Astyanax mexicanus: one gene and its partner. The main gene of each other region encodes a partner of the protein of the gene in region 2 in a complex. Links are inferred from orthologs where the notes say so. Each region holds a gene or a part of one and is shown on either strand. Other genes may lie near its edges.

Region 1 (10,486 bases), on a different chromosome or scaffold from region 2:
TTTTTTTTAACACATTGTCTGCATATATACTGTATAAATTCAATATATACTGCAATGTATAGCAATATATTGAATCCTATTACCTGTATTGTGATGTATATCATATTGCCACAGCCCAAAATTGTGTATGTCTGTGTAGGTGTGTGCATGTGCAAGATATTCCTCCTCATCTATGCCAGCATGCTTCAGTGCAGCGTATTCCTCATACTTCCCGCTAACCTCCCTGTGCATGAATCAGATTTACCCAATACCCTGCATGCAGGCCCTGCGTAAGGCCCGAGGCATCCCTGGCATTCAGAGCCCCCTTACATACTCACTCACGGCATGGACCATCAGTGACCACTGTCACCAGTACAAACTGTTCAAAAACATTCTAGACCTTCCACATTAGACTTAAGTGGTTCTTTAAGTTTTTGAATACTATATAGAGACAATTGTTTTTAAATTTTGCACAAAATGTGACCTAAAACTTGATCAGATTTTCTTACAAGGCAAACAAATGCAAACATTTAAATTTAGTATCTGGTATGATACGGTTGTGCAGAAATAACTATAACTAAATCTTTCTGGTAACTGGTGATTAGTCCTGCACAGCTTAAAGGAATTTTAACCCATTCCTCCATACAAAACACCTTCAGCTCTGTGTTATTGGATTTCTTCCCATGAACTGCCTGCTTCAGCTCTTTACACAACATTTCTATTGTATTAAGGTCTGGACTTGGCAATGTGGACGTATTTGGAAATATCATTAACTTCACACCTGATCATCCCATCAAATTAAAACACGTGACTTTGATTCATTCATTTTATCTGACAATCCTAAAGATCCAAATACCCCATCTACTTTTAGGATGTGTGTAAAAATGCGATAAACTTTTAAGTTAAATTAATGCAGAAATATAGAACATTCAAAAATGTCCTCAAACTTTTATACACCACTGACCTACCGCATGACTTTAAATGAAACCACATCTGCATGTAATAAAATCCAAACATTAACCAAGAAGTAGAGTTGTTCAGTCCATCTGTCACTTCTCTATAACCTGTAAGCTGTAGAAGCAGGTGAGTGAAAGCTATGAAGTCTTTCACATGGTCCACACGAGTGTGATTCCTAAAAAAGACTACTCCATATCTAATCTCATTTAATGATAACATACAGCATTCCTCTTGCTGAGCCAGATTAGCCGTCTCAGTGTGATAATGATACATCACAATATAGTGTATAATGGGACAGTGGTGGATGAGAAAATCTCCATCAAGTTATGGAGCATACAATAAGAAAAAAACACATCCTTTTATTGTGTGGCTTACAACATTTAAATGCATCTTGTTAAAAGATGCAGCAGACATGGAGGGGAAAGAAGGAGAGAGAGAGGGCACAGAGAGAGAGGGTGGGGAGTAAGAGAGAGAGAAGTGACCAAGAGGACAAGGAAAGAGAGGATGAGAGGGTGAGAGAGGACAGGGATAAGAGAGTGAGAGAGAGAGAGAGAGAGAGAGAGAAAGAGAGAGAGAATAGAGGAAGAGAGTGAGGGAGAGAGAGAGAGTAGAGGGCGAGAGAGAGAAAGAGAGAGAGAGAAGAGGGAGAAAGAGCAGTAATCCGTGTATTACAGTAAATGCTTGTTCTCGGTGTGCTGGTGTCTGTGCAGTGTGCTCGGTGTAATTAAGGCTTTTAGAGGCGCTGACTGCGCTCCGCTCCATTCTTGCTCAGAGGGGCGCCGATGGCTCGCGCCGCTGCGCGCTCTCAGCGCTATATTTAGCGCGCGCCGCAGCCACTACACAGCCTGAGGGGAGAGCAGAGCAGTGCGGGCCTTCTGCTGATGCTTCTACTGCTATTCCACATCACAACCAGCACACCATCACTAATAAGCAGCTTAGCAATGCTCAGATCCAATACCAACCTTTGTACATTCAAAACAACTCTCAACAAAGTCTGGAATACCTATACACCTAATATAAATTCCTTTATCTCAGTAAAAGCGCCAGATTACATTAGAACAAAGGGACCTAAACATAAATAACGTATAATAAATATTTCAGTTTTCTTCTGGACACCTACCCAGCATACGAATTCGTTAAATTCTATTACCAGCTCACCTTTTAATATTATTAAGCACTAATTTAACAAACCAGGCGTTGATAACACCTATAAACAACACCAGGCTAACATGACAAGAGCTGGAAATGTTCTAATGACCACAGTGATGTAATACCAATACTCTGAGTAATAATGGTATTTGTGTATTTTAATTCTTATTTACATATTTGTTCTAATATAAGTGAACAATTCTACAATTTACACAAAAATATCCTCCTAATCTCCAAAACAGCACATTAATGAAAAACATCTTAACTTTAAATTTAAAAAAATATATTTAATTAATGTCATACACTATATGTTAAAACATACTGAAATTAATCTAGCTGCTTCATACACAGCTTGTCTATAAAGCAGAAAAATATAAACCTATTGACACCATGTCAAATGCCAGGTGTGGGCTGGATGGAAATAAAGGCCCAGCATCAGGCTGTGGAGTAGCAGAACTGTACTTTCTGTAATAGTTGTGCCACATCCAGCCATTAAACCAAGCTGAACGACTTGAATTTTTGCACCAAAAAGTTATCCAAAAGCAGTGTGTAGGACTGGTGGAGATGCCATGAAAACTGTGATTAAAAACCAGGGTTATTCCACCAATATTGATTTCTGATCTCTTTATAAATATGAACTTGTTTTCTTTGCATTATTTGAGGTATTAAAGCTCTACATCTTTTTTTGCTATTTTAGACATTTCTCATTTTCTGCAAATAAATGCCCCAAAATGACAATATTTTATTTGGAATTCGGGAGAAATGTTGTCTGTAGTGTATAGAATAAAACAACAATGTTCATTTTACTCAAACATATACCTATAAATAGCAAAATCAGGGAAACTGATTTAGAAACTGAAGTGGTCTCTTTTTTTTTCAGAGCTTTATATAGCTACATGTGTGATATTGGATATTGGCATTGGCCAAGAATTCCCAAATCAGTGCATCCCTACTCTGCTCCTATGTCTAAATGCAATCAAATTCTCACAGCAAGCCCACACTGGACAGTGGAGACACTTCCCATTCCAGAAAAAGCAGGGTAACCTCCTGAAACTCCAGGATAAATACATTTGATATCAGAATAAAACCATTTATTAGGTGTCCCACTTACTTGTGGCCTATTTCAAAATGTGAATCTTTTTTGCGTGACAGTTTATGACCTCGATTCATCGGAATTTCAGCAGTAACATGAACTGTGACATACATACCTCACCAGTGGGTCATGTGACTGCCAGTGGAAAGGAAAGTAAAAGCTCAAGAACCGGTTAAAAAGTTCCTCCTATTTTCCTGCTTTCCATAGAGCACATGTGGCCTGCAGAAAGGCCACGCTGTACATTAATAGCCTAGGAAGCAAAAACTGTGTGAAAACCTGACCAGGAAGCTATATAACAGAGTGACACTCCCACAGCCATCAACAAAATAACACATGACCCTCATATATACACCCTGTCAGCCCAGCCCCTGAAGTCACTAAGCTACAACATGTGGCTGAAACATGAGTAGTTTAGGTATGACAGACACTACAGGCATCCCTCCATCACTCCTACAGACTGAGTACCACAGGTTTCCCAACATCATTCTGAAAACCCTATACTTAAAACAACTATACTGGCCCTAATAAGGAATGCTTAGAAAAAAAGACATACTGAATAACAAATATAAAAACTCGTTATAACTCTATAATAACACATTTTCTAATGTAAGTTACAATGAAGCAGCATTCAGCGAAGCCCTTCTCCATATCAGTAACCACAACAAACCCTAAATTAACCCAATCAAGCTAGCTAAATACCGGCTACCGGCTTTTAGGCCAATCCCCATAGATCTACAGCAAGCTAGCATGCATGCACACACGCGCCTGAAACGTAGGCGCTCTGCTATATAAATTCCAGCTCTATAATCTATCTATTCTATCTATCTGCCCCCACCAACACAGTCAGGGCTACTGCCGCTGAGTCACCACACAAATCAACGCTCTCCCCACTTTATAACATGTCCAGACATCTTCCCGCATCCGGCTCTCTTTACTCAGGGACAGAAACAGATCCCTGACCATGTTTAATTCAATATTACTGCGTTGTTGTCGACAGAAAAAAAACATTATAACTATAAAATGCTTCAAACGGCTGCATACCGGTTGCTGTTCCTCTCCACGAGCTTGTTTGTGTTTCCGCCGGCTCTGAGTCGAGGCTGGAGCTGCTCTCCCTGCTGAAGGTAAAGTCTCACAGGACCTTGCTTCACTCCACACTCGCCTTTCCGCTGAGAATTCACGTGCTCGCAGTGTAACTTCTCCCATACCTCCACCCGCCAAACAACTACAACCAGCAGACAGTCTTCCCACACAGCCCGCCATGCGCGCGACACCGGCGCCACCCCGTGAGCACGAGGCGCACGACACGCGAGGCCTCGACTATTTACCACAGCTGAATTATTATGAGCTGGTCATGTTCATTAATTTAAACTCAGCATGGACAACCTTTCTTGTTTTTTTTTTTTTACATAAACAAGCTCCAGTTTCTGAATCTGTTTGTCTGATTTTGCTATTTATAGGTATATATATGTTTGAGTAAAAATTGTTATTATACTATATATATATATATAGTATTTATTGTGCAAATGTTTTAGGCACCTATGGGAATTTCAGTGAATAAAAAGCTTCTTGTCTGCGAAGTAAGTGTTTATTAGCTCAGTAAAACACTAGCATTACAATAAATACAAACAACAATTGGAACCACTTTAAAATAAGACTACCTTTATAAAGGGTTTATAAATGGTTTGCAACTAGTTTAATAATGGTTACTAATTAGGTTGCAAATAAATATAGTCTTATTTTAAAGTGGTACCCAACAATTTTACAAAACGTAGTGCTTTTACAGCACTGGTTTTCTTAAAATATCATCTAATCTCTCCTCATCTGAGTTATTCCTAGTTCTCATCATAAAAACTGGTTTGGTAAATTGGTAAATATGGTAAATCAGCTGAGCTGCTGACAGAACTGAACATATCCACATGCTGGCTGAGGGCATCCAGGAGAAATCTGGAACTACACTTTGTTTGTTTAGTTTGGCTCACAGGATATAACATAATTTTTACTGTATGTTAATTTACGTCTGTTCAAATCATATGTGGTGTTTTTTTCAGGGAAATACACTCATATTGCTGAGATAAATGGATTAGTGTAATTTGCTTTGGTGCCTAAAACGTTTGCACAGTACTGTATATATGTACATTTATATGTATATATTTTTTCTTAGTAGCATGGTTAAATATGTGCATTTTCAGATTTGTTTACTAATATACAACAAAATACACTATTTAGGCAAAAAAACAATCGCCACCAAAATAAAGAAAAGGTTACACACTCACACATAATATTTTGTTGGACATCTTTTAGCTTTGATTACGGCACGCATTCCCTGTGGCATTGTTTCAATAAGCTTTTAAAATGTCAAAAGATTTATTTCGATCCAGTATTGCATTAATTGTTCACCAAAATCTTGCACTGATTGACTTTTTTTTTGGCCAGGCAGTGTAGGTTGGTCTGTTTTAATCCAACTTTGCTGCCCTGCATGTTTTAGGCCAATAGTTAATTACAACAACCTTAAGTCATTAACTCTCAGCTGACTAAAAAGGAAGGAACAGGTAGCAAATCCAGTTTAGCAATTGATAACCAGACACAGCACCAAGAAGACAGCAATAATTTTCAGTATGACTCAGAAATAGCTACAAAAAAATAATAATTTGTTCTTGTGATAAGTCTATGCTATGCTACATGGCTACTGAGATCTGTGGCAGTGCCATCAACCAGCCTATAATCATATGCTATGCTAACTGCATGAGTAATGTGAAAAAGCTTTCATAATCTTGCCTATTAATAGGCTTGTGACAACACAAGCCATTTTTTGCCCCAAACAAAAACAAAAACAAAAATATATAATAGAAAAGAAATGTATCTTTGCCACCTAAAAGGAAAAAAGCAAGGAACATCTATTGAAGACTAAATCGAAATCGATTTAGTAATCGAATGTTTGGGACTGTATTTAAGGATAAATTTAAAGCCTGAAAATCTCTGAAGAAACTGGCTGAAGGGTGAATTGTGACCTTCAGGATGCTAAAGTAATTAGATACCCCTGCACTACTATATTGGGATTCAGATATGCTTATAAAACAGTTTTCATAATTAAGACATTTGTACTAAATATAACAAAAATAGAAATAAAAATGGCAGGGACAAGTACATATCACCAAATAAGCCTTCTTTTAATTATGCTGAAATATTTACATAACACACATTTAGTCCAGTAGTAACTGAACTGTGGCATGTTTTTGATGTTTTGTCTCTGTACTCCAGCAGATGTAAAATGAAACATTTTACAGAACATAACTTTTATTGTGCAGGTATTTATGTTTGTACTGGTGAGTCATATCTGGAACAGCTTTCAGGGAACTGTAAGTACTGTAATTGGGAAAATTAACAAATAGAATTGACATAGTTGATGCTTGGTCAACTCTTGCAACATCTTTTGCAGGAAATAACTACTCAAAGTATGTGACTCAGACTTTTGCAGTCTTGTGGTATCTTCCCTGGCCGTGCTGCAGGGTCTGTAATATTTCCTTATTTGGTTCCTGCTCATTTGCCTGCAGTCTTGCTTACAGCAAGTCAATTGAGTGCTGGAAAGATTCCAGGTTAGGTGGTTCACTTGTCTGTCTTGTTTAGAATATGCTAAATGGTGCAGTGACACATGGCTGGCCATGGAACAGAAACACTAATTCCCTCTAGTTCCCTAACTTGAACAGAGGTTTAAAAAGGGCTGCACATTCTTTTCCTGATACACTATATGTCCAAATAGCTTTTCAAAAGTTTGTAGAGAAATACTGCCAATTGAATAGACCTCCCTGGGGCAGATAACTACGTACTTACTGACACTACCTAATGCCACAGATTCCTCTAGCACTGGCTGTAGAGCGGTGGAACTGTGGCCTCTCTATTACTTTTGGAATGGGTTGATGAGTTGGGATGTAATGATGAGTTGGGGATGAATTGATAAGTTGGGGAGGAATGAATGAGATGGGGATGAGGTGGGTGGGTATCCATCCAACATCTTTACCTTACTAATGATCTTGTTGCTGAATGCAATCAAATCCTGACAGCAATGTTTCAGAAGAGAAAGTTATTCAACAATTTTTTAATACACTTGATTTCAGAAGAAACCATGATGAACGAAGTGTCCCAATACTTATGTACTTATGTCAATGTGTTCTGGAGAACAGACTCAAAACATAACAAAAACATATGGCCACTGTGCTATCACATACAAGCTGCACTATACAATACACACATACATCAGCCATAACATTAAAACCACTAAAAGATGACACAAATAACACTGATTATCTGGTTAGGGATGGGAAATATTGGGCATCAAGTGTCCAATATATGTTGTTGAACAAGGGCCTCGGATGTATGTGAGGAGTTAGGGCTAGATTTGATCCCACAGATGATTTGTACATTTCTGAACACAGTGAACTGCGTCTTGCTGCATCTTGCTGCATGTGGGCCTGTGTTGCCACAGAGTCTATCTGAATGCCCATGCCAATGCCTGTTCCCTGCCAAAAGCACCTCCAGTAGGCTTCAAAACCTAGAGCATGGAGCAATGAAAGAAGGTGGTCTGGTCACATTCCTAAGCAAGCTATGGCAATCAGATGCACAACAGGAATAAGGGAAGCTAGCAAAGCTGGCAGTGAGACTTTTTGATAACAGATGACAAAGAACACCTTCAGGGTATTCTTATAAGTCCATGTTTTGACAGGTTAAAGCTTTTTGGTGGCACAAGGGAGACCTACACAGTATTTAGCAGGTGGTTTCAATGTTATAGCTGACCCATGTGTACAGTATATAAGTAGAAATTTGCACACAATTCACTTATAGGCTTGTAAAATGTGCTTAGGATCCCACAGAGGAGTGTTTAGAGTCATTTCATGCTGAGGTGTGAATAAATAAAACACTTTTACTATTACATCAGATGCAAAACATCCACAAAACTCAAGTATTCAAAAACAGAAAGTCATGTACAAAAACTAAACAGAAGAACATCTGCAGTTTAAGAAGCTTCTTCACAGTCTTTAGGTGCGATTTTTGAGCAATGATTCCTTCTTAAAACCTCAGAATTGTAAAAAGTTCCTCACAAAACATCCCAACAAATCTTAAAAGATGTTTCTATGACCAGATTTCAGTTCTTTTGGGTGGATCCAAAAACAAAACCTGGAATTATGGGGCAACATCTCAGCATGTCAGGAAAAATATAGCAAGTGAAGCACACAGAGGTACAAAAAACTGCAAAAGATTGTATTCTATCGTGAATCCTTCAGTCAATCAAAATACAATTCAGCTGTATTTTGGCAATGGTATAAATAATTCCAATGAGGGTATGCCAGGTCCCCAGTGAAGATGGGAGGAAGAACGCTGTCATCGCTAGCTTATTCATTGGCAGTACTGAAGCAGCATGGGTACTGTAGTTCTTTAGTAGAGCAGAGCTCAGGTCCTCCGGGGCTCCAGCTTGTGAGAAAGTTGGGACAGGGTACGCTGGTTGTCAATCACACTAATCTGACGAATGTAGCTCCGAACATCCTGGTGATTCTTAGTGGCCTGTGGAGCTTCATGGGCTTTAAATGAGAGAGAGAAAGAAAGAGAGAAAAATAAAAGAATGATCTTTCTATTTTAAAACCTCTAAAGTCACTACACAGTTTGGGATTTCCAGGCCACAGTATTACCCAATTGACCTGAAAGTGTCAAATTACAAAAGCACCATGTGTAAGCAGGAAGCACAGTGGTCACCTAATTTCTGTCACATACTATTTACAGCACATCAAAATAAGGTAATGCTGAAAACTAAAACAGGAATTTACGTATGCAGGTCTTGGACTTACTGAATGGCTGGCTTCTGCAGTATCTCATTATTCTCACTGTGTTGGCAATCATTCGCTGTAAGCATTAAAATACATATACATTAATAACATTTCTTTATTAATATGACACACATTGAACTATTCTATAAACAGATAAACTTACCATTTTCTCAAAATTGACCAAACTGTCGATGAACGTCTTGTTGCCTTCATGAGTAAAAGTCATATCTGATGAAATAATAAAAAGGCATTAAGCATTTAATGTTTGTAAAACAACAAGTTTTGTGTGTAGAATGTAATACAGCTCTGGAAAAAAATAAGAGACCACCTCTCAGTTTCTCGGATTTTGCTATTTATACGTATATGTTTGAGTAAAAAAAAGTAAAGCAGTTCAGCTTGGTTTGATGGCTTGTGATTATCCATCCTCCTCTTTATATTCCAGAGGTTTTCAATTTGGTAAAATCAAAGAAACTTGTCATTTTACCTAGTCTCTTATTTTGTTCCAGAGCTGTATGCTTTATATGTCCATTTGTGGTTAAACATATTACAAAACTCATGGTTCAGAATGGATCACATTTTATGAGTCACAGATCAGATCAGCAAAAAAGAAAAGAGAGACAAATGTGAAACATTAAATTTAGCTTTCATTTGAAAATATCATTTATTACTACTTTGTTTGTATTTGTGATCTTTATTTTGAAAATCTGTAGCAGGCTAGTGGAGCAATTGCATCTTTCTTGTGCTATTTTTTTTCTTTCGTTCTGTTCTACATTAAAAGTTAACAGGGAACTATCTCGTTCTGAGGTTGATTTACTTGAAGATTTCTTCTTTTTACATCTAACCCATGTCTATATGGGACTCCTACACCTTACACTTATATAACTCTGCTCCCCCCTCAGACATCAGAGTCTCTGCAGATGAGTGGCTGTGTTCAGTGTTTAAATTACTTTAAAAGTAACTTTAATCAGTAAATGATTAAACCTTATGGGATTGGGGGATTTATCTGTGATTTATGTGTCCTGAACTGTTGTTTTCAAGAATTACGTTTGATCCATTTCATCACTAATCTCTATACATACTGGGTTCTAACCCTAAATTGTATAATCTAAACCTGAGATGTACAGTCTACCAACAGCTAAAATTTCTATTTTTAAGGAAGCGGAATCAACTATCTAAAGTCTAATTGATTTGTGGAAAAAAATGACACTTTTGTTCTAAACATCCAATCAATAGCATATGTGTGTTTGCAAACAGATAGTAAAGGCGTATTATTTACTTGGTTTATTGACTAGGAATGACAAAGGCACATGAAATGTGAAGCAGAAGAAACTACATTTTAATTAGAGTCTGAATTTGAAATCTCTTTTTGTGTGTTTAGTCTTCTTTTCTATAAAGAGCATGTAAAAGCCTTAGCATTGCTACAAGGTTATTGTAAGTTATTGCATTTAAATATATAACAAATATCAGCTCCACAGCACCCACCTTTAATGAGTAA
Region 2 (10,320 bases):
GTCACCAAGTCAATTTCACACCGGAGTTCTCCTTTAAATATACTAACTAAACTGTTATACTAAAAGTTGTGTTAAAAAAGGGAAACACAAATGTACTGACTAAAAGCACAAAATTTACTGTTTGTACATTTTTCACATAAAATCACATTGTGTAATTGTGTATAATCAATCATAATGGATGAAGTCAAATTTCACAAAAGAGTAAAAAAGACATGCGTACCAGCAGTGAGTTGCTTTTCCTCTTTTACAGGCTGTGACACAACTTCTGCCAGCCGCAGATACTGCAATAAGATGCTGGCTGCTTCCTCCCCTCTAAATCTCACTTGATCCAGTAGCCTCCTAACCTACACAAGGAAAACAAATTCTTAGACCATCTTTCATCTGCATTGACCAGCCTGCTAACTGCTTAGATAGCTCCAAATAAAAATCCAACTATTATAATTCTACATTGATTATAGGTTCTTGACTTAGAGACAGAACTGTTTAGTCAGATGGGCCTAATGATGTAATAAACAAGGTATTGCTGTTCTGTGAATAGCTGTCAGTTTTTTTCAGTTTTAAAACATACACATGGTTCATCATCAGGCCTATTCTTATTTCTTCATATTCATAGTTTTTTATATGTTGTATCTGATAAACTATATGATCCTAAATACCAAATTTGTTATCTGTAAATACTGTGTTTATTTCTTAGTAATATACATAATATAATGTGGGTATATAAGGTACTCTATAAAATTGTCGGACCAAAATCGAAACGATTTCCCAGGTAACATTAATTTAGCCAAATTTCATCAATGAATAAATAAAATAGCCTAAACATGTTTTTGTCAAAAAGCAAACACAAAAAAAATCTACGATTAAAAATATTGTTTCAACACAAAACAATGTTTAACATCCCAGCAGACATGCCAACAAAGCAAAATATGACTTTTGGTTTCCAAATAATCTGTGCATCTGGAGTTGTTACAAAGCATTTGGGGGCCTAAAGCAAAATGGTGCTGTACTGTCCGGCACTGACCATCACAAAGTTTAAAGGGGCATTCAGTTCATAACCAGTCGTTGTCTGGGGGCTCCAGGCCAGCTCAGGGTCCTAGGAAATTGACTGGTTTGCTTGCCTTGTTGCAACGGGCCTGTATGCATCCCAATAACAGATGTATTCTGAACACTATTCTAACCCTTATATGTGTTCCTTACCTTTTGTGAAGGTGTGTAAACAGGTAACATCACCTCATCACAGTCTTTTGAAGTAAAGCAGCCAGCGTTTACCAGCGCTTCCAGCACTCCATCAATATGATCCCGTATTTTCCTCACCAGTGCTGGTCTATCAGTCATCAAAGTCTGACTGGCATTAGTGGAGGTCCTCTTAGCATCCTTTCCTGCAGCAAAACTTTTACCAAAGCAGAGTCCGGCTTTCTGAGCGTCGGGTAAAACTTGCTTAAACGCTGACAGTAGAAGGAGACAGGACTCCTCGCCTTTGTTGTACACCAAGTCCAGCAGTTCTCTGGCACTGGAGCAGAGGGGTTTGGCTGGTTCCCGCACACTTAGGTAGTCTTCCCACACAATTACACCCCAAGACAGCAGAAGATCCAGCACACAGTCCAGGGGTTCAGCCGTGCCCCCACAGCATAGAGCTCCCAGAAGCTCCGTTCTCTGCCTCAGGACCAGCTGCTGTCCAGACATATCTCTGGTATCATCTGGTCATCTGTAGTGTAAAAAAAATATTAAAAAAATACAATTTAACCTGACAAAATATTACTTTCACAACCTGCTGCAAATTTTTTTCTTCGATCTTCACTAGATGTAAAAGTGTCCAGATTGCTGGATTCACGTCAGTCAGTTAAAGATCTACAAGCCTATACAGGATCACCTTTTGTTACAAAATCGAAATAAAAACAAGAGGCTAGGCTGCTCCCAAACTGGAAACCCCTCCCACTAGACAAACATAAAGCATTCTCAGCCAGTAGTTTTTAAATCAGCTTATTATTTGTTATTTTAAATAAAGATGCATTCATCATTAGTAGTGGAAATTACAGGCATCTCACAATACATTACCAACAATAACAATGATATCATGATACTGTGATTCTAAGCAACTCGATACATGACAAGAGAATCTTCTACTGAAGATGAAAGAATACTCCTTAAGAAATAAATACCAGGAATTATGGATTTATTGGTGTCAGTTTCACAGAATTTAACCAATATTATTAATTGCAGAATTACTGGTCCCTCTGATAGCGCCACCACATGGAGTAATGAACCAGTAACTTTATTAAGTCAAATTGGGGGGCAAGTATTACATTTACAAAGGAAATTTTGATTGATTTAAACCAACCTGGGAGATGACCATTTCTGTAAGACTAAGACATTGGTAAGACATTTCTGTGTGGACTAAGAAGGTGGAGTAATATTACAGGATTTTACACAAGTATGACCAACATGGTTTTGCCATGTTAGCTCTTAGGAGAAATTTTGAAGCAATAGCTTTACACATTTAAGACCAAAATAATGGTATGTATAATGTCACTTCATCCAATAAATCCATAAATGGTATTTAGGAGTATTTTATCCTCTCCAATAGAAGATTTTGTAATATTCTAATGCATCTCAAAAAATTAGAATATCATGGAAAAGTTGGACTGGACCAACACCAGCAGATATGGCTCTCCAAACCAATAAAGTTACTTTTAATATATATTCTATTCTTTTTTTTTTTTTTGAGACACTAGTAAGTTAAATTTTTTTTATCTCAGAATCACAATATGAATGAATGAAGCAGTTAATTTCCATCATGGCTGTGAATAAATAACCTTGTAATTGAACCTTGTAATTGAAATAACATTGTAAGTCACTCTGGATAAGAGTGTCAGTTAATGCTGTAAATCTAAATCTAATTATTAAACTTCCTAGAAACATCCAGCCGACCTCACAAAAACGTCTCTTATAACGTTAAACCCCACACAAACCCCGAAGCATCATGGGAACACTCCACTGTAAGAAACCTTTGAAATAAAAAAGTACGTGTCTGTTTTTTTTTTAAAGGAAGAAAATGTAAAATACAGGAAACAGCTATGAACTGTTGAAAAAGCATTTTTTTTTACATAAGTCTATTCTTGTCATTTTAATGTTTTTTTTTTCAGATATTTGTTTGTAGGGGAAATACTGTAAAATGTCAAATGACTTGAGAAAAGTCTGCCCTTTTTTACAGTGCAAAGAGAAGCACGTGGCTAATAAGTATTGAATAATTTTTAAACTTAATTCATTAACTGTTAAATGTAACACGTTGAGTGTTCATCCAACACTGGCAAGTTTGGTAAATTATCCAATTTAGCTACATTTAATCCAGTCTAAACGTCTGAAACGCAAGAAAGGCAGCCAGATATGTGTTATGAGTCGAAGTTTAGCAATTTAGCTTCTGTTTTATTGGGCTAAAATGTAATAGCTAATAGCTAATAACAAAACAGCCAGCTGCGTTTTTTATTTTGAGTTGGATACAGTGATTTTTACTAACTTCTTCATAATGAGACGGTGTAGGCAACAAGTAATCATTTTTGCGTTTCAGACACAGCAATACAGTATAAACAGCCTACCTTAAGTTGAGTTGAGTGTTTAGAGAGCCTGTCCTGCTCATAGAAAGCTCATGAAGCTGTCCTGAGGTGACTTTTCCGTGTTGCCTGTCATGTTCACGGCGGTGGATACTGTCAGATAATCCCCTTTAGGCGAACTTCTGTTTGTTCTCGAGAGAAAAAGGGAAATTCTCCCAGCTCCTTCCTCATTCCTGAGCGTAAAAGTGTAAGTAGTTTTTGTTACCGACCCCCTTTTTTGTCTCTCACAGTTTCAACATTTACACTACACCACAAACAACTTAAACCCTGCCTAAAACGTGTATACTGTATACTTACGGTAAGAACGGCTGCTGGGTGCAGTCTGTATCAGTCTGTGTGATGAACTGAAAGTAAAACTGGAAGTGTGTAGTTTAGTGTGAGGAAAGGATGAGGCTGGACCTACTTGACCAGTGTTTACAATGTTCTGCTTCCCTGATATCCAGAGATGTAACCTATAGTAACAGACAGAACTACTTCACTACTGTACTTAAATACTAAAATGCTGTATCTGTATCTACTGGAGTATTATTTTTACTTCACTACTGTACTTTAGTACTAAAATGCTGTATCTGTATCTACTGGTGTATTATTTTTACTTTAGTACTGTACTTAAGTACTTAAAAGCTGTATCTGTATCTACTGGGGTATTATTTTTACTTCACTACTGTACTTAAGTACTAAAATGCTGTATCTACTGCAGTATTATTTTTACTTCACTATGGTACTTAAGTACTAAAATGCTGTATCTGTATCTACTGGATAATTATTTTGACTTCACTACTGTACTTAAGTACTATAATGCTGTATCTGTATCTACTGGAGCATTATTTTTACTTCGCTACTGTACTTAAGTACTAAAATTCTGCATATGTATCTAATGAAGTATTATTTTTACTTCACTACTATACTTAAATACTAAAATGCTGTATCTGTATCTACTAAAGTTTTATTTGTACTTTACTACTTTATCTAAGTACTAAAATGTTGTATCTATATCTACCGGAGTATTATTTTTGCTTTACTATTGTACTTAAGTACTAAAATGCTGTATCTGTATCTACTAGAGTATTATTTTTACTTCACTACTGTACTTAAGTACTACAATGCCGTATCTATATCTATTTTAACTTTCCTTATTGATCAAAAAGATATTATTCTCTTAGTCTGCCCTATTAATACGTCTTCACGTGACTTAATTCACCGTCACTGTTCCTGTCTTTCTTAATAGTCAAGGAAATACCCAGTTCTGAATGATTCATTCAGAAGACTATTTCTCAAAACTGTCACAAAGACTAAGAGGAATTGTAACATTGTAGAGCAGTTTCCCAGTCAGGGACTGAGCCTAGTCTTGGGCTATAGAGTATTTTCGAATGACATAGGGTATGACTAGGCTTAATTCCTGTCCGGGAAAAACAGACCTTATAACAACCTTTAGTGCTTTATTCTAGTCACTCCTGTTCCCACAGAATTAATCTCTCTGACTCATATTAATCATGCATGCCTTACTTCCAACTCATTTGGAAGTTCAGATACCGAATCAAGAAAACAGTTACTAGTTCCTGACAGGAACAATTCAGAAACTAAGAAAGAGAAAATATTTAGCTTTGACAGATCTACTACTACAACTAGTTCACTTAACTAACTGTTTTTTCATAGTTCCTATTTCACTTTACTTGGTTCACAAAACCTTAAGGGAAGCGGGGCTGTTTAATGTATCATCTTTGCCTAGTGGACATTATGATGGCAGGTCCTCAAAATAAAAAATAAAAATGCCAAAATCACCAAATCAATCACAATAAATTGTATCTTCTTAACTAAATATAAATCAATGCCAACCCTGAAGCATCATGGGAGTTCATCTATGACACAACATCATAATGTAACTATGGGTCAATGGGTCAGTGTGGAAAATATGGAAAAACTGACTGCAGTTTTAACACAAGTAAAGTTTTGGAAAAGGTTTCGTAAAGCAAGGAATGCAAAATATATTGCTTCATTAGTTAGACTTTCCTATTAAACAGATTCATTACTTCTACAATGTTCTTTAACTTTCACAACTGTAGCCTCAACTAGCTATCCTATTTCACAGGGTTCCCATTTGACTTTATTAACACTAGTCTGATGGAGATGGGGTTATTTAAGGCATCATCTCTGTCTCACATCACTCACATCATGACAGTAGGTGTAATGAAATCACCAAACTAATCACAATAAATTTGAAAACAATCTAACAATCACAAAAATACAGAACAAAACTACAATGAACTTATCCATGCAGTAACTTATTTTCTTTAACTTATCTAAAACATACATAATTGCACTTACTGTACATGTTAAGGTTAACACAATATCTGTCACAAACACTTACAACATAAAACTAGGAATTGTAATCCCAAACAGGACAAAATCTCTAGCCCCAACAGGCCAAAGCTAGTATTTGTTTATCTACTCCAGAGAGTCTTATTTTATTCTGTTCTATTGACAGTGCTTCTCTACAGGGACTTGTCAAGCTGTGAATGTGCATTTGCTCTACTGTGTCAGAATTGGGTACAACCTAAAGCAGCTAAACACATTCATTAACAGGAGCATATATTATATATTTTTTATGTAGTTGAAATGCTGTTCCATTACTCTGTGGGAAAAAGTATATTTTGGAAGGATTAGAATGTGGAATTGGAGTTGGAGTACAGTGGATTTAACTGCAAGGTCAAGTTTTGAACACTAGATGGAGCACTCACACTGTGTAAAGAAGACATTGTCTCAGAGAGATCCCTCAGTGTGATGCTTTGTTATTTAATGCTTTTGGCAAAGCCATCCTGACTGACTGCATCTACATTTATTACTAAATTAAAACGTATTTCTTAAAATACAGCTAACCTTTTTTTTAAAGCATCAGTATTTTACCTTTAGAATTGTGAGTTGCTTCTATTTGCCAATTAATATTTGAGCCCATGACAAGAAATTTGACATACCACTGAGAGCCTGTTTTATAAAAAAGGAAAACTGTGTGCAGATAAATTTCAGATGCAAAAATGTACAATATTTACTGCACTGACTGGACAACACCATAGAAAAAGATGTATGTAGAAGATCTGTGCAGAGAATCAAAAGAACTCGAAAGAAATGTCCCAACTAAACTTCTTTAATTGTACTAAAATGCATTTACATTTTTATTTTTTAATTGGGTATATATGCTGCTGAAACAGGGAGCTTAGTGCATCCCAAATGTTTAATTTACATTTGAATAGAACATTATACTTTATAGTTTTTCCATATTCTGCACTACTAGTTTATTTATTGTCTTTACAAATTTGCACTGCTAAATTATTAAATAGGTGCGTAATTGCGTACTTGCACTGTCTGTAATGTGAGCGCATCAATCATCTTTTCAATATGCACAGCAACTGGTGCACATTGTTATTTTACCCTGTCTACAGTGCAGTTATTTTACTGCACTACCTCCATTACACAGACACAAAAAACTCTACTTTTATACTTGTTTTTTATTGTATTTTTATCTGTACCATTCTATCTTATCCTTTTTTGTAACACCTGTGTACTATGTATACCTGCTGCTACTGGATGTGCAGAATTTCCCTCTGGGATTAATAAAGTATCTATCTATCTCTCTATCTATCTCTTATAGCTAGGGCTGGGTATTCTTTTAAAAGCTACCGATATGATGAATTTGGTTCTGATACCCAAACAATACAATTTTTTCGATATTTTTATCTAAATTGTAACCAAAAAAATACAAAAAAAACTATAGCTATTATTACACAAAATATTTATTTAACAGCTGACATGAGTCTTAATCTTAATCTTATTCTCATACTGTCACAATGAGAGACTTCATCTTTTTGGATCTTGTTGGAAGAAACCGTGAGCATGTTTGTGGTTCTTTATTATTTTTATTTATTATTTATTTATTATTATTATTTTGATACACATATTATTGTATTATTATTATTATTATTATTATTATTATTAATCACTTGAATTACAATCAAGATAATTTTTTTAAGTGCATAGAATAGGACCTCAGATTTGGATAAATGTTGATAAATTTGGGATGCACTAGGTTCCCCATTTTAGCTGCACATATGCCCATTGAAAATGAATGAATTTCATTAGTACAACGCAATAAGTACAATTACAGCAGTTGATGCTAAATTATGTGACACACATATGTATGTATTATTTATCGTTTTAAAAATAAAATAAAACTACATTAATGAGTTGGATTGTGAAAAAAAACATGAAATTATAAGATCCCAAAAATAAAACCCTCACCTCTCACCTTACAGCACCTCACTGAAGTTCCAGTGTGTGTTAGACCTACTCCCTCCAACCAAACACAATGACTTCTGCAGCTGTTAATTAGTTGGAGCAAGGTGCAAGGTCAAAATCTTCAGAAGCTAGATTTTTAACAAGTGTTTTTTTTTTTTTTTTTAATGTAATGAAGTGTTTGCTGGACCTGTGTATATATATATGTGTGGGTATCTCTGATCTGAGACTATTTCTTCTTATCCGCCTACCCAGAACTGAAATAATTATCTTCACAGACCTGCTTAAAACAGCTGCTTGAAGCTCTTCCTATAAAGCAGCACATTGTTGTAGCTATACTCTACCACCAGCTTCTCCTGGGGCACATTAAATCTTACAGTATAACTAGAGTTCTGTATAATATACATGAACACATAAGTACAAGCATGTCTCCTTTGTCTTTCCAGTAAATCTAACAAAAACTTGAGCCATGGGCATTGTACAGCTTGACATATGAGCATTATTAATAAATCTTAATTGTGCCATCTTACAGCCCTTAAGTTGTATATCTAAGCCAGTTGTCACTACAAAATCTATACAGTCGATCCATAATGAAAAAAGGCCTTTTTTTGCCTTTATTCATCATTTCAGTGGGTCCCATCAGGCAGGAGACTAAAGTTTCATCTTAGCTAGTTTCACTAGCTAGTTTCACTAGCCAAGAAGAATCGGTACAAAAAGTAATTTGCATCTGCTGTGGCTATTCTGAATAAGGAGGTAATACACAATTTCCCCACATAATTCAAAATCTGTTTGTATTTTTATGTTTTGTATTTAGTTTTTTTTTTTTTTTTTTTTTTTTACTTTGTTTCTGTAATTTCATGTATTTGTCTGCCAAAGACAATTTTCAATTCAATGTAAATTTAATGGACAATAAAGCTTTATTTTATTTTTTCTCATATCTCATATGTTGCCTTCAAGACCACATATGCATTTTTAGCAAGACATTGCAAACCCAAGTGCTGCAGACATTACAAATGCTTGGCTGCAGAAGAGAAGGGAGTGGTCTTTTGCATTGGCTTGCCAACAGTCTTGGCGGGTCCTGTCCTCAATAAAGAATGTCTTGAGGATTTTGAATCAAAACACTGCAACGACAATGCCATAATGTTGCACACTTTACGGTTGTGTTTATAGGAAGAAGAATGGGACAAAATCGAACCTAAAATAACACAATTTCTTAAATGTGTTACAGGCAGGCGCTTTGGAACAAGGTAAGCAAACCAATCAATTGACTGGAGCCCCTGAGCTTGCCTGGGGTCCCCAGACAACGACTGGTTATGAATTTAATGTGACGACAAACTGTGTGAGCATCCCTTACATTCTGTAATGATCAGTGCATGAAAATATAACAGCACTGTTATTCACACTGGAATCCTCTTCAAGGGGGAGCCTCATACTAGTTGATACTCATACTGGTTGACTGTAGCCAGCCAGACAGGTTCGTGATTCCTGCAGTCGGCAAAATAGGAAACTTCAGCAGTCATTGTTTTTCCCATTTGCTCCCCAATTTACACAGCCAATGACCCAACCCACTCATTAGGACTCCCCCTATCACAAGTGATGCCCCTACACCAGGAGGGTGAAGACTAACACATGCCTCCTCCGATACATGTGAAGTTACCCACTGCCTCTTTTCGAACTGCTGCTGATGCAGCATTACCACATAGCATTACAGCGCACTCGAAGGAAAGTGCAGCGACTCGATTCTTATACATCAGCTCACAGACACATGCTTAGTGCTGAGCAACATCACCCTTTGTTGGGGGGATATGGGGAGAGAGCGCCATCTACCCACCCAGAGAGAGAGCAAGGCCAATTGTGTTCTCTCGGGGCTTCGGTAGTTGATGGCAAGCTACATCAACAAGATTTGAACCATTGCTTGGGCCCCCAAATGCCTTGATATGGCGCTAACGCAGGGATGAAATGAAGTTTACCAGACAACAATGTAAAAAAATACCTTGGTGTTATACTGAAATATTTTATATGCATTTCCCTCAGTGCCTTACTTTTTTCCAATGTGGACGTTTTACATGATATCCAGTTCCAGTTCTTCTTCATGTTTGCTCTATCTAGCTTCATCCCTCTGCTTCTCCCACCTTTTCATTTGTCCCAGGCTATAGATCATAGTGGATGATGTCAGCTTAAAAGTACTGAAGGTCAGAGATACAAGAACACGGATTAAAGCTAATCTTGGATTAAATTACATTTCCATCAATCGGGAATCTCTATCGGAAATCCTTTTAAGTATCGGACACTGCTTAGGCCTGCAAACCGTTCCCAAGGCGCCGAGACGTGCCCACGGCGCCGGCCACAAAGTAATCAATAATACGCCGCAACAGTCGCGTTTCTGCGGGATCAAACGGGAACAAGTGTCTTGCTTGGGTGGCGT

What was found. The genes of interacting proteins can lie anywhere in the genome.
Region 1: nod2 (region 2) and map3k20a share a complex: the UniProt entries of both Homo sapiens proteins name them as parts of the signaling complex. The link is inferred for Astyanax mexicanus from reciprocal best matches to the Homo sapiens genes NOD2 and MAP3K20.

What each region holds. Positions count from the first base shown.
Region 1 is NC_064418.1:31,274,898-31,285,383, reverse strand, and holds the start of map3k20a (mitogen-activated protein kinase kinase kinase 20), read right to left. Parts: upstream 4,448-10,486; 5' UTR 4,439-4,447; coding exon 4,220-4,438; intron 1-4,219. Other genes in the region: rapgef4a (rap guanine nucleotide exchange factor 4), read right to left, coding at 8,621-8,748, 9,013-9,067, 9,155-9,219, 10,474-10,486. UniProt on the Homo sapiens protein: Stress-activated component of a protein kinase signal transduction cascade that promotes programmed cell death in response to various stress, such as ribosomal stress, osmotic shock and ionizing radiation.
Region 2 is NC_064430.1:11,847,252-11,857,571, forward strand, and holds the start of nod2 (nucleotide-binding oligomerization domain-containing protein 2), read right to left. Parts: upstream 3,993-10,320; 5' UTR 3,906-3,992; exon of another isoform or gene 3,782-3,905; 5' UTR 3,594-3,781; intron 1,706-3,593; 5' UTR 1,684-1,705; coding exon 1,198-1,683; intron 345-1,197; coding exon 221-344; intron 1-220. UniProt on the Homo sapiens protein: Pattern recognition receptor (PRR) that detects bacterial peptidoglycan fragments and other danger signals and plays an important role in gastrointestinal immunity.